3 linked regions of the Struthio camelus genome follow. The protein of the gene in region 3 binds, or shares a complex with, the protein of the main gene of each other region. Links are inferred from orthologs where the notes say so. Each region holds a gene or a part of one and is shown on either strand. Other genes may lie near its edges. The genes, in order: WASF2, CYFIP2 and NCKAP1.

What was found.
Region 1: NCKAP1 (region 3) and WASF2 share a complex: the UniProt entries of both Homo sapiens proteins name them as parts of the WAVE2 complex. The link is inferred for Struthio camelus from reciprocal best matches to the Homo sapiens genes NCKAP1 and WASF2.
Region 2: NCKAP1 (region 3) and CYFIP2 share a complex: the UniProt entries of both Homo sapiens proteins name them as parts of the WAVE1 complex. The link is inferred for Struthio camelus from reciprocal best matches to the Homo sapiens genes NCKAP1 and CYFIP2.

The regions. Positions count from the first base shown.
Region 1 is NC_090964.1:6,580,394-6,584,138, forward strand, and holds the start of WASF2 (actin-binding protein WASF2), read left to right. Parts: upstream 1-1,460; 5' UTR 1,461-1,596; intron 1,597-3,745. UniProt on the Homo sapiens protein: Downstream effector molecule involved in the transmission of signals from tyrosine kinase receptors and small GTPases to the actin cytoskeleton. Promotes formation of actin filaments. Part of the WAVE complex that regulates lamellipodia formation.
Region 2 is NC_090954.1:11,240,004-11,243,748, reverse strand, and holds the start of CYFIP2 (cytoplasmic FMR1-interacting protein 2), read left to right. Parts: upstream 1-1,527; 5' UTR 1,528-1,644; intron 1,645-2,397; exon of another isoform or gene 2,398-2,537; intron 2,538-3,745. UniProt on the Homo sapiens protein: Involved in T-cell adhesion and p53/TP53-dependent induction of apoptosis. Does not bind RNA. As component of the WAVE1 complex, required for BDNF-NTRK2 endocytic trafficking and signaling from early endosomes.
Region 3 is NC_090947.1:17,842,109-17,845,853, reverse strand, and holds the start of NCKAP1 (nck-associated protein 1), read right to left. Parts: upstream 2,214-3,745; 5' UTR 2,166-2,213; coding exon 2,058-2,165; intron 1-2,057. UniProt on the Homo sapiens protein: Part of the WAVE complex that regulates lamellipodia formation. The WAVE complex regulates actin filament reorganization via its interaction with the Arp2/3 complex. Actin remodeling activity is regulated by RAC1.

The sequences.
Region 1 (3,745 bases), on a different chromosome or scaffold from region 3:
AGCAGTGGGTAACGGTGGTGGTAGGTACCCCTGGCAGGGGGTACCCCTGGTGGTGGGCACCCCTGGCAGTGGGTAACACTGGCGGTGGGTACCCATGGTGTTGGGTAACACCAGTGCCAGGTACCCATGGTGGTAGGTACCCCTGGCAGTGGGTACCCCCGGTGGTGGGCACCCCTGGTGGTAGGTAACACTGGCAGTGAGCACCCCCAGTGGTGGGCACCCCTGGTGGTGGGTAACCTTAGTGGTGGGTACCTCCAGCAGTGGGTAACATTGGTGGTGGGCACCCCTGGTGGTGGGTAACCTTAGTGGTGGGTACCTCCAGCAGTGGGTAACATTGGTGGTGGGTACCCCTGGTGGTGGGTAACCTTAGTGGTGGGTACCTCCAGCAGTGGGTAACATTGGTGGTGGGCACCCCTGGTGGTGGGTAACCTTAGTGGTGGGTACCTCCAGCAGTGGGTAACATTGGTGGTGGGTACCCCTGGTGGTGGGTAACACTGGTGGTGAGTACCCCTGGCGGTGGGTACCCCTGGCAGTGGTTCGTGGCTGACAGGCAGAGGTGGGTGTCTGGGTTTGCACCCCCAGAGCTGGTGACTGCCAGGCTCCTGCCTGGCCCTGTCCCCCTCAGCCCCCTGCCCTGCTCCCTCCTCCCCTCTCCCCAAAGCCCCTCACCCATACCCCATCACTGCCACCCTGTCCCCTAACCGCCACCCTGTCTCCACCCCTACCCCCTAACTGCCACCCTGTCCCCACCCCCTCCCCTAAATGCCACCCCTGTCCCCAGCCCTGTCCCCTAACCACCACCCTGTCCCCACCCCTGACTCCTCACTGCCACCCCTGTCCCCAGCCCTGTCCCCTAACCACCACCCTCTCCCCACCCCTACCCCCTAACCGCCACCCTCTCCCCACCCCTGACTCCTCACTGCCACCCCTGACCCCCAACTGCCACCCTATCCCACCGCCGCCCCCTCACCCCCACCCCTGCCCCTCTTCCCCCCCCCCCCCGGCGGCCGCGCCGCCCTGGCGTGACACCCCCGCTCCCCCAGGTGGAACTTTCCTTGCGGGGCGTCAGACCATAGAGGCGAAAGGCAGCACCAAGGTGCAGCACTTGGGGGGGGACTCCGGAAAGGAAAGAGACCCTTTTCCTCCAGGCTAACCTAGAAGAAAACCGTGCTCTGGCACCCACAGTCCCAGATGTATATTTTGAAATTCTGTCGCTTTGCGTGACGTCGGGATTCTCCCCGCTTCCCTGGAAATGTTTCTCTCCTTGTCATCCAAGGATCCCCTCTTTAATCCCCTGGATGGTACTTTCCTCCCTGTTTACTCACTTTGCGCGGCCCGCTTGGGTGGGGTTCTTTTGCTGCTCCGATTTCGTACGCAAGTGGCGTAGGACGGCTTTGATAGACGGCAGCGCTCAGCCAATGGCAGGGCAGTAGCCTTGGCCAGCGAGCCAACGGTGTAGCGGACCGGCGGCCGGGAGGAGGCGGGGCAAAGTTTAGTCAGGGTAGGGAGGGGGAGCCGTGGAATGGCGGACGGCCGGGCTGGCCCGCCCTGGTGGTAGCGAGCCGAGGGGGCCGCAGAAGACAGCCTCGGAGTGGGGTGAGTGCGAGAGGGGGTAGCGGCGACCCCCCGGCCCCCCCCGGCCGCCTCTTCCCCGGGGAAAGAGGCGGAGGCGCTGGGGTGGGCCGTTAGGCCCTTGCCAAATAGTGAGCTCTCGGGGTGAGCCGGGCCCTGTTTCCTGCTACATAGTGAGCCCCCTGCCCTGTGTGGGCTCTGGTGCCCCCGGTCTTGGGGGGGGGTCTGGCCCCGGCCTGGGGCGGGGGGAGGAAGGGGGAAGGGAATGGCCTTATCCCAGGCTGACACTTGCCCTGCCCCTCCCAGGGGCCGTGGCTCAGTGCTGGGCTGCGTGGCCTGGGCTGGGGCTGCCCTGCCTGGGGGGCTGAGGGGGAGGGGGCTGCCCTGCCCGGGGGGTGCCAGTGCCCTGGGCTGGGTTAGGGGAAGGCTGGGTGCTGAGCTCTTAGTGGTGTCAGCCCCTGTCCTGGGGTTGTTACTGAGGTCTAGCTTAGCTGGGAATAACTTGAGGGGCCTGGGGAGGAGGAGAGGTTGCTGGGGTGCTCCCTAAAGGAGAAGAAGTGCTGCTTTGCTGGGGGTGGCGGGGGTCCTTCCCTTACCAGGCTGGTCGCAGCCTTTGCTCTCAGGCCTTGACATTAGTTCATCGAAATGGTGCTTGCGCAAATGCGTGCGTGTCTCTTACTTGTGTAGAAAGTTTATCCGTGCGAGTGGCTGACTGCCCTTGTTGGTGCAAGTTCTGGTGACTGCCCTCATGGAGGGTTGCTGTGAAAATGCTTTCTCCCTGCTGGCTGTCCTCCTGCCCCAGAAGTGGGTGCATCCTTCAGTATGTGTGGGTACACCTTATGGATGTGTGTAAGCCCCTCAACTAGCAGCTAACCATGCAGCCATGTAAAATGTCAAACTACTTGAGGTAGGACTGTGTGGGTGCATATGTTGGAAATATCTTCCCTAGTGTTAAATCCCTGGGCACTATCTGAAAAGAAGCTTTAAAGGGTGTAACGGCATATGGTTGGGTAATTTGGTCAAATGTGCTGACCTACCAGTGACCTCAGATCATATTTCTTTCAGAGAAGAAATAAGTTGCCAGGCAATGTCCTCAGGGTTGTACCTCACTAGCATTTGGGTTTATATTGGAGCTACTCCTTTGGGATACAAATAGCGTATGTCCTTTGGAGAAAGGCAAGATGTTGCAGCTCCTCCCTGTTAGCTATTGTTTGACCTTAAAGACCTTCCTCTGGTAGGAGTTTTTTTCTGCTGAAAGTTTCACATTTGGCCTTACTGATTTACTTCCATTAGTAGCAGCAGACTTGGGAGCCCTCACGTAGATGGACCTGCTAGCGGGACTATATGGCGTGTGAACGCCAAGTATTGGCCTGTTCAATAAGACATTAGAAAATGCTGACAGTCTAAGACTCCCAGCATGGCAGATCTTAGTGGATATGAAATAATCTTAATGATGATAAGGAACTTCAGTGAGTACACCTGATACAGACCAGGCTATAATTGCTGCAGACAAGGCCACAAGTTATCAAACCTTTTGTAACTCTCACACTTGTGCATCTTTCCCTCGAACTGGGAAATCTCGTGAGAACGGAAAGATTGAAAGTAAAAGACGTGACAGGCCAGTAGTGTGTGTGTGCGTTTCCCTGTGGCAAAGTTGATGCAAAATGTTACTTTATGGGAAGTATTAAAGTGTGTCTGCTTGATCACATGAGGAAGGGGAATAGTTATGTTTTCTGCTAGTTTTAAAAGCTTGTAGAATTGGTTGCTATAAAATGCTGCTGGAATTAAAATGCTGTGTTGCAACCCTATTCATTAGGAATTCTGACTGGCCTTTTAGTGACCTTGAGTGGATTTTTGTCATAGAAACTAATACTTAGCTAAAACAAACTTAGTTTAAAAACAAACTAAAGCTTACATCTACCAACTGAAAACACAGACAATATGTTGATAGAGTGACTTTGAAAATCCACTTGCACTCGCAGCCAAGGACAAGCTTTATCCAGCGAGTGGGGTGGAGTAGGTCAGGCACTTCACAATTCTGCAGGTTTTTTTTTTTTTAAGGTGTGTACTTGAAATACAGGATTTGAATGAAACAGCTTGACCACAGTCTTTGAGGCCTAATTCAAATCCTTGCACAAGGTGCAGTGGGCAGTATTGCACCTGAGCAGGTTGG
Region 2 (3,745 bases), on a different chromosome or scaffold from region 3:
GTTGGAGAGGGCCAACGACTCCAGGATGCTGATCAATATTTGATCTATATTTGATACATAGCAACGAGTTCCATATGCAATGAAATGCAATTTCTTCCTGTCCTGCCTGTTCTTTATCTACCCCTTTGAGGACCTTTCTTTCCATAAACCCAACGATAATGTAGGTTTCGACACGTTACAGGTAGCATTTGGAACTACCAAAGTCACAAACTTACTCCCCAAAATCATGCATTGCCCAGTCTTCCTTTAAACATTTCCAGTTGTGGGATTAGATGCACTGCAACACTTAGGAAGCATTGCAATAAACATCCATTTGCTCTTCATTAAATATCCATAAGTATCCACTTGTTCCAGTCGTTAATTACCTTTTTCCGTAGTTCTTTATTCCTAGTGCTTTATTCCCAATTAGGTCTAGACCTGCACGGTGAGAAAGAACTGAGACATCTGCCTTCACAGTTGGAAGACAGAAAAATTTGGCCTGGAAAAATCCAAAATTTCCTGAAACATTTTGTAATGAATATATTCCCGTGTGATGTATGGCTCTGTCTGTACTCTCCGAACTCTGCTCTCTACAACAGGGTGGGGTTTAGGTGGAACCTTCCTTGCTAATTCTCCTTGCATGGATGAGCTCAGTGTATTGTTCTGTTCACCTCACAACACCATGACGTTACCTCTTGCTCTCACATCCACACGCACAAATAGCTGATGCCCACACTGCATCTGATGCACACATCTGTATCTGCATGTGGTCTGCTCCTCACCAGCATTCTTCCCCTTTTGCAAAGAGACCTGCAGGACAAATGCAAAGAAGCTTATTCTATGATCTAAGACTACAAAAAGTAGAAAATTAAAATAACATAACATTCACAGAACTCCCATCACCATTAGCCTGGCTGATAATGGGAATGAGTTAAAAAAAATAAAAAAAAAACGAAAACACAACAGTTTTCACTGCCACAATTTTCTTGAATTGACCTTGTTTCATCCACGGCCTCAGAGTAATACTAGCTGTTAAATCTCTTGCATCTGCAGTTAGAATGCTAATTTACTGAATCTTTCTGACAAGCAACAGATAGTGAAAAGAGGAACTATGGCTGAAAAATGTTCCAGTTAAAGCTGATGTAGAAGACTGCTACATAGGGGAAGGAAGAAGGGTCTGTTCCTAGAGTTGCTATTAATAATGTTCAGGTGTTGAGCTGTCTATTTAAAATGAAGACAGTTTTGAAGTTCTGTCTTGCTGCTTTTGGAGCGTGCAGACCCTAGTGCATCCACTCTACCTATCGCAGCAGAACTACAGCACAGACCTGGTGCCCAAGCTTCCTTCTGGAGCCAACAGAGCTTACACCCAGAGCTTACACTGGGAGCCTGTGCTCCTGAGCAAGCTCAGACCCAAGCTGTCACGGGCAACAGAGCAGCAGGCTTTCTGGTAAGGAATCAGCAGTGGTTATTCAAAGCCAGGAAAGATCCAGATGTAGTCTATTTTTAGCATAGACCAATGTTCAGGAAAGGAACGCTGCCAGGGACCACTGTGGAAATATATCTAGACATGCCCTGGGCTTCCAACAGCCTTGGATATCCACCGATGTCTTTTTAACATCTGAACCTCTGAGAGCTACAGCAGAATGAATGAAAGTCCTTTGCAAGGTTTGTATCAATCTGCACGCAGAGATGTTACTCTGGAGGTTTTAAGAGGTCCATTTTGCATTTCACACTAGATCTCAACAGCTGTATTGGAGCTTTAAAAAGAATCACAAGCAGAAGAACTGGAAGCTTATCCCTGAAAAAAGGCCAAAAGGAAGATCTTTTGGATGTAGTGCTGACTCAGAAGAGGCTCGGAGCCCTGCGCAAAGGCATTGTCTTCTGGTTTTCATCCCTTACATGGTCAGCGAACCAAGGCTTTATATATATTATGGAAACAGGACTGTCATTAAAACAGGGTTTTAAAAAAATCTGTCTTTGGCACAAGCCGCCTGCCGTGCACAGCGCCTGCATGCTTGGCAGCCCGGCAGGCTCGGCAGCGGCAAGATGGGGAAGCGCGCGGCCGCTCCTGCTTCTCAGGCACCTAACTGCATTCACCTAGCGCTTCCCGGGGGCTGCGGGAGCCGCCACCGCCAGCGGCAGCCCCAGCCTCTCCCGCTCATAACCCGGGGCTTTTCGGCCGTTCTCCCCCGGCCAGTTCGGCAAAACGGCTCCCTTCTCCTCCTCCTCCTCCTCCTCCTGCTCGCCGGGAAGGGCGGCCGCGGCGGCTGGCACCGCAGCCCGAGCAGGGGTCGGGGCGGCGGCGCGGAGCCGCGGGGGGATGCGGCCGCCCCTGCGCGGGGGCGGCGGCGCCGCGCATCCCCCGCGCTGCCCGGGGGAGGAGCCGCCCGCGCGGCTCCAGCCCCTTCCCGCGGCGGGGGCCGGGGCTCCCCCCCCCCGCCGCCGTGCGGAGGGGCCGGCGGAGAGCCGCGGAAGTGCACTTGCTGCAGCCATTTCCTGCTCTTTGTGCGAGCGGCGCGGAGCGGCGCGGAGCAGCGCGGCATCCCGCGCAGCGCCAGGTGAGCGGGGCCGCGGCGGGGGGCTGCGCTGCGCGGGGGCTGCGCGGGAGCATCCTCCTCCTCCCCCTCCCCCGCGGCTGCGCGGGGTTGCGCCCGCCGCCGCCGGCCCTGGCGCGCTGGGCCGCCCGCGCGGGCGCAGCGGGCCGCGGGTGCGGGCGCCGGGGCAGGTGCCGGCGCCCGGGGCAGCGGCAGCGAGGAGGCCCGGCGGCGCCGGGATGTGCGCGGATGTATCCCACAATGCTTAGAGCCACCTGCAGTATCGAGCCTCCCTTGCATTGATTGCACAGAGCCGGGGAAAAGACCCAAAATCGCACCGCCTGGTTGCGCGCATCCCCCCGCGGAGGAGGGGAAGGGCGACGAGCCCCGGGCCGGGATGCGCCGCAGGCCCGGCCGCTGGCGGCGATGGCAGCGCTGGGGTCGGAGCGATGCTCCGCGCGGGAGAGATGTGGGTGGAGGAGATGGAGGACCGGCGGATGCACTGGGCCGAGGAGCGAGAGGTGGCCCTGGCCCCCGGTCGGAGCTCCCATCACCAACAGCATAGAAAAATGGTGTCCCTCGGGGAGGAGAGGGGAGGAGAAAGCCGTGGGGTGTGAGCGGGGCTTGGGAAGGATGGGCCCGAGCTCTGGGGATTTTGTGCTGTCAGAGATTTTTCAAGGTTTATGCTTTGGTGTTGGTTGGAGTTGGCAAAACCTGGGTGCTCCAGAACGACTGATTTTCCACGCATGAGGCAATCTGTGGTCGAGATGTGCCCCGGTAGCGTTTCTTTGTGTTGAACTTTCAAACCAAGGATGTCAGTGATGAGTTCACTGGTGGCAGCCACATCCCACCTGAAAAGGAATGAAAAGATTTCACAGGAAATTTCCATGGGTGGAAGGGATCAGAAAGGAACGATGAGAAGAAAAAGAGGCACATACTAAACCGTCCGTGCTGGCTTAGTGATTGAGAGTCCTCTTTACTGGTTGTTTTTGGAAGGGGGAGGGTGTCTGGGGGCAGACGTTGAGGTCCTGCTGAGTAAGTGGATACGGCTGCTAGCAGCAGAGCTTGTCCCCCTTTGCCATCTGTTACTTTCCACGTGGGGGTTTCAAACCGCAGCTTTTGGATCACAAAGATCTCACCGAATTGTGTTTGGTCGCTAACTCACCAGAGCCCTGGCCCTGCCTGCCCTGCACAGATACCAAAAGAAAAAGCACGCTCGTATTTCACGTTAT
Region 3 (3,745 bases):
ACTATTTTAATGCCCGCACAGAGTTGTATCTGGGTCATCTCCAGATTTGCAAAGCTATATGTCACATAATAATCAAGCTGCTCCGACATGCCTATATCCATAGGTAATATCAAACCTTATTTGGATTATATGGATGGCAGCTGGAGGAAAAGGTGGTGTTATCTCCAGTGATGATGCTCCCATACTGAGAACCTATCCGATTGCATCACTTCACTACTACCAGCAATAGCAGAAGATACCATATGGACAATCATGCTTAGGATGCTGTCATCCAAATATGCCAGCAAAAACATGTCGGTGGGCACTGAACCTCTTAATATTAGCAACTGTCCCCCGTCCAAGATGCTGGCAATCAAGACATGGTCTACACTTAAAATTTTTAAGGCATGGAGGTATGTCAAGCAAAGGTTTAATTTTCTGAGTCTCTACCACCTCCCCCATCTCCTTCTCCCCCCACAAAAAACCCCACAGCTATGTTGACAGAAGACCTAGCTTAGGCAAAATTAAGCCAGACTTTTTCAACTCACACATCTCTCTAAAAACGTAACAACTACACATGCAAATGGCTTCTTTAAGGTTTTGATGTCATTTTCCCTACAAATAAATAAGTTCTCTTTTGTTTTAAAAGGTACATTTCTATAATTACAATTATTAAATTGAAGCAAGTTTACCAACATACAAAACTGCAAACTAAAGGAACCTTGTTTCAATTTCTGACAGTAACTACTTGTAGTGCTTTGGATCAACACTGAATGCTGCAATCATGCTTTTGAACACTGCAATCATTTTTTTCCTGGAAACAAACACCACCTTAAGTAAAATCAATAGAGCGTTTGGCTATACCGAGTCCTTACTACTTCTAGAGTAGAAGTCTCCCATATGAGAAAACCAATTTGACAAAACACCTATTTCTGCTCAAATGTGTTAAGGAGGAGCACTTCCTCTAAAAATTTAGGTTCAGAAGGCAGAGCGATACCTCAACTTCACACATTATCCTTGCAGACTGAGGCTCGCTAACTGGGGATCTTGGAAGCCACCGGACTCTGCAGGTTTCAAGCAAAAAGTACTGCTCTAGCAGAAGTCAGCAGAATCGAGCATATGCATCGGCACAGATATTTTGACACAACTCCTGCAAAGGTGTGCTTATTGCTTGAATGTAACCACTGCAATTTTCTTACGAATAAACGCTTCTAAGATAAAGCAATAAAGCCTTTACCAAGATTCACTACTGAAACTGAATTAAGCAAGCTTTCAAATTATTCAGTTCAAATGATGTATTACACATCAGGAAAAAAATATAAGCTAGCAAGTATAAATGAAGCACCTGGAGTACTGGATGACTATGATCTACATTCTTCAATTTATGAAAGCAAGGTTTCTTTCAGAAGAGATATTGGCTACATATGAAGACAGCACTATATTTTCCCTTCGATAACACGACGCGCGACTTCCTGCATCTCTGACCGGTCTCACCCTAGGCAAACATTATTTCCTTTTTATTTTTTAATAAGGCAGAGAACAGTTTTAGCACCAGTGACAGCTTAAAACATCTGTTCCAATCCAAGCCAGCAGCTGCTAAGCAACCATGCGCCTCGAACTTCGTGAAATTAAACTTACTAATTTTAACCGGAGCCCTCCCCTCCGGCAGCTACGCGCTCGGCGGGCGGCGTGGGAAAGCGCAGGCTGCGCCGCGGGGCTCGCCGGGGCGATCGGCCCCCGCCGCCTCGGCCCCGGCCCCCGCCGCCTCGGCCCCGGCCCCGGCCCCCGCCCGCCGACATGTCGCCGACCCGCGGCACGCGCCGGCCTAGGCCCCGCGCAGGCGGCCGAGGCGCCGGGCCGCGCCTGCCCTGCGCCAGGCAGCCAGGCCCCCGCCGCCGCCTCCCGGCCGCCGCTAGGCCGCAGCGCAGGGGGGCCGCGACCGGATGAGCCGCCAGCCGGCAGGCGCCGGCAGCCCCGCCGGCTCCGCCAGGGCCCAGGCGGGCGGCGGCGGGGATGGAGCCCGGCCCCGGCCCGGCCCCGGTCCCACTCCCGCCGCCTCCCCGGCGGGGCCCCCGCACCTTCTTGATGTTGTAGAGCCGCGTGAGCATGCCGACGCCCCGGTCGTTCAGGATGGTCAGCTTCTCCGCCAGCTTCTGCTGGCTGGGCTGCAGCACCGCGCGCGACATCCTGAGCCCGGCCCCGGCCCCGGCGCGGCCTCCGCTGCGGCGGCCTCCGGCGCTGCGCTGCGCTGCGCCGCCCCGCACGGCGCCGCCGCCGCCGCCGCCTCCCCTCCCGCCGCCCGCTCGCGGCCCGCTGGGCGTGGCGACCGTGACGGCGACGGCGGCCGGCCCGGCCCGGCGCAGGGGGCGCCACGTGACGCGGCCGGCGGGCGCCCCCTGCGGCCGGCGGCGGCGCTGCCCCGCGGGCTGGGGCGCCGCGCGGCTCGGGCTCGCCCGCGACACCTCCGCCTTCCCGCCGCCGGGGCCCACCGAGGAGGAGGAGATCCCGAGCCCCGGACAGCTGGCGCTCACCGCTCGTAAAAATTTAGGCTCCATTTTTTTAAAATTGGGTTCCCGAAGGAATGGGATTTGGTTTTCCCTTCGGTTTGTTTTTATTTTTAATTTCTGAGTCGTTAGGTTGTATTTTACTTAGAATTCTACGTTGTATTTCAAAACAGTGAAGCACATTAGTTTTTCTCCTAAATTTGTAATGAAAACTGATTTTTTCACTTAATCATGTGAAATCAAGAACTGAAGGTTAGCAGAGCTGTGTATAGTGTATATGGACACAATTATCCGTACTAGTGACACTCACTAATTTTCTGAGAGAACCTTTGTCAGTAACACACAAGCCACTTTCATGATGGGATCCTGGAAGCAAAAAAAGAATCGTACAGACATCTGCTGAAGGTGGTATCAATAAGTTCAGAGTTAGCAACACGCTGAAATTTATGAGGCTCTTATTCCTCTGAGCCATTGCTTTAGAAAGCTGCACAGCAAATTCAGAGAAATACCATTTCACCAATTAGATGACTCACACAGCCACATATATTTTTTCTCTTGGAGCTACAAAGTTTAAAAGGATGCATTTTTAAGTAACAGTGAGATTCCTATGTCATAAATACCCCAAACAGGCATCCGTGAGACCTCTCCCTGTATTCCAAACTTCGTTGTTACCTGTTACTGAGACAGTGCTACTGCTGAGCAGCCAGCACAACCAGCTGGTACGAAAGTCAACTCAGGCTGCTTAATGGAAGATGCACCTAAGAATTAATCTTCTAGTCTATTTCTCTCTCTCTCTCTCTCTCTCTCTCTTTTAATAATGACACCATCTGTGCTTTTTATTGCATTTATTTTAATCTTCGGTTCATATTTTCACATTAGAGATCAGAATCAGCCTTTCAACAGTTTTAAACTAATAGATTCAGAAAGCATAGGAATAAATGTGAGAAGCCTAAATGTAACTAATTTGTTACCAACCTCCTCCTCCTCTTTAGCAGTTACAAGATAATTTATGATTCAGAATGAAACCGGGAAGCAAGAACTTAGAGTTCTAATCTGAAGCCTGCTACTGAGTCATTTTTTGGCCTTTAGCAGTTAGTTTTCTGCCTCAGCTTTTTGTCCAAGAGTTGGGAATAATCTTTTATAGCATACCTAGCAATAATGTTGCAAAGATTAATTAGTTTAGAGCTGACCTTTCACCACTGTAGTCTATAGAAAACATCAGAAACATTCAAATTAGTCTTTAAATTTATAATGCATAAAAT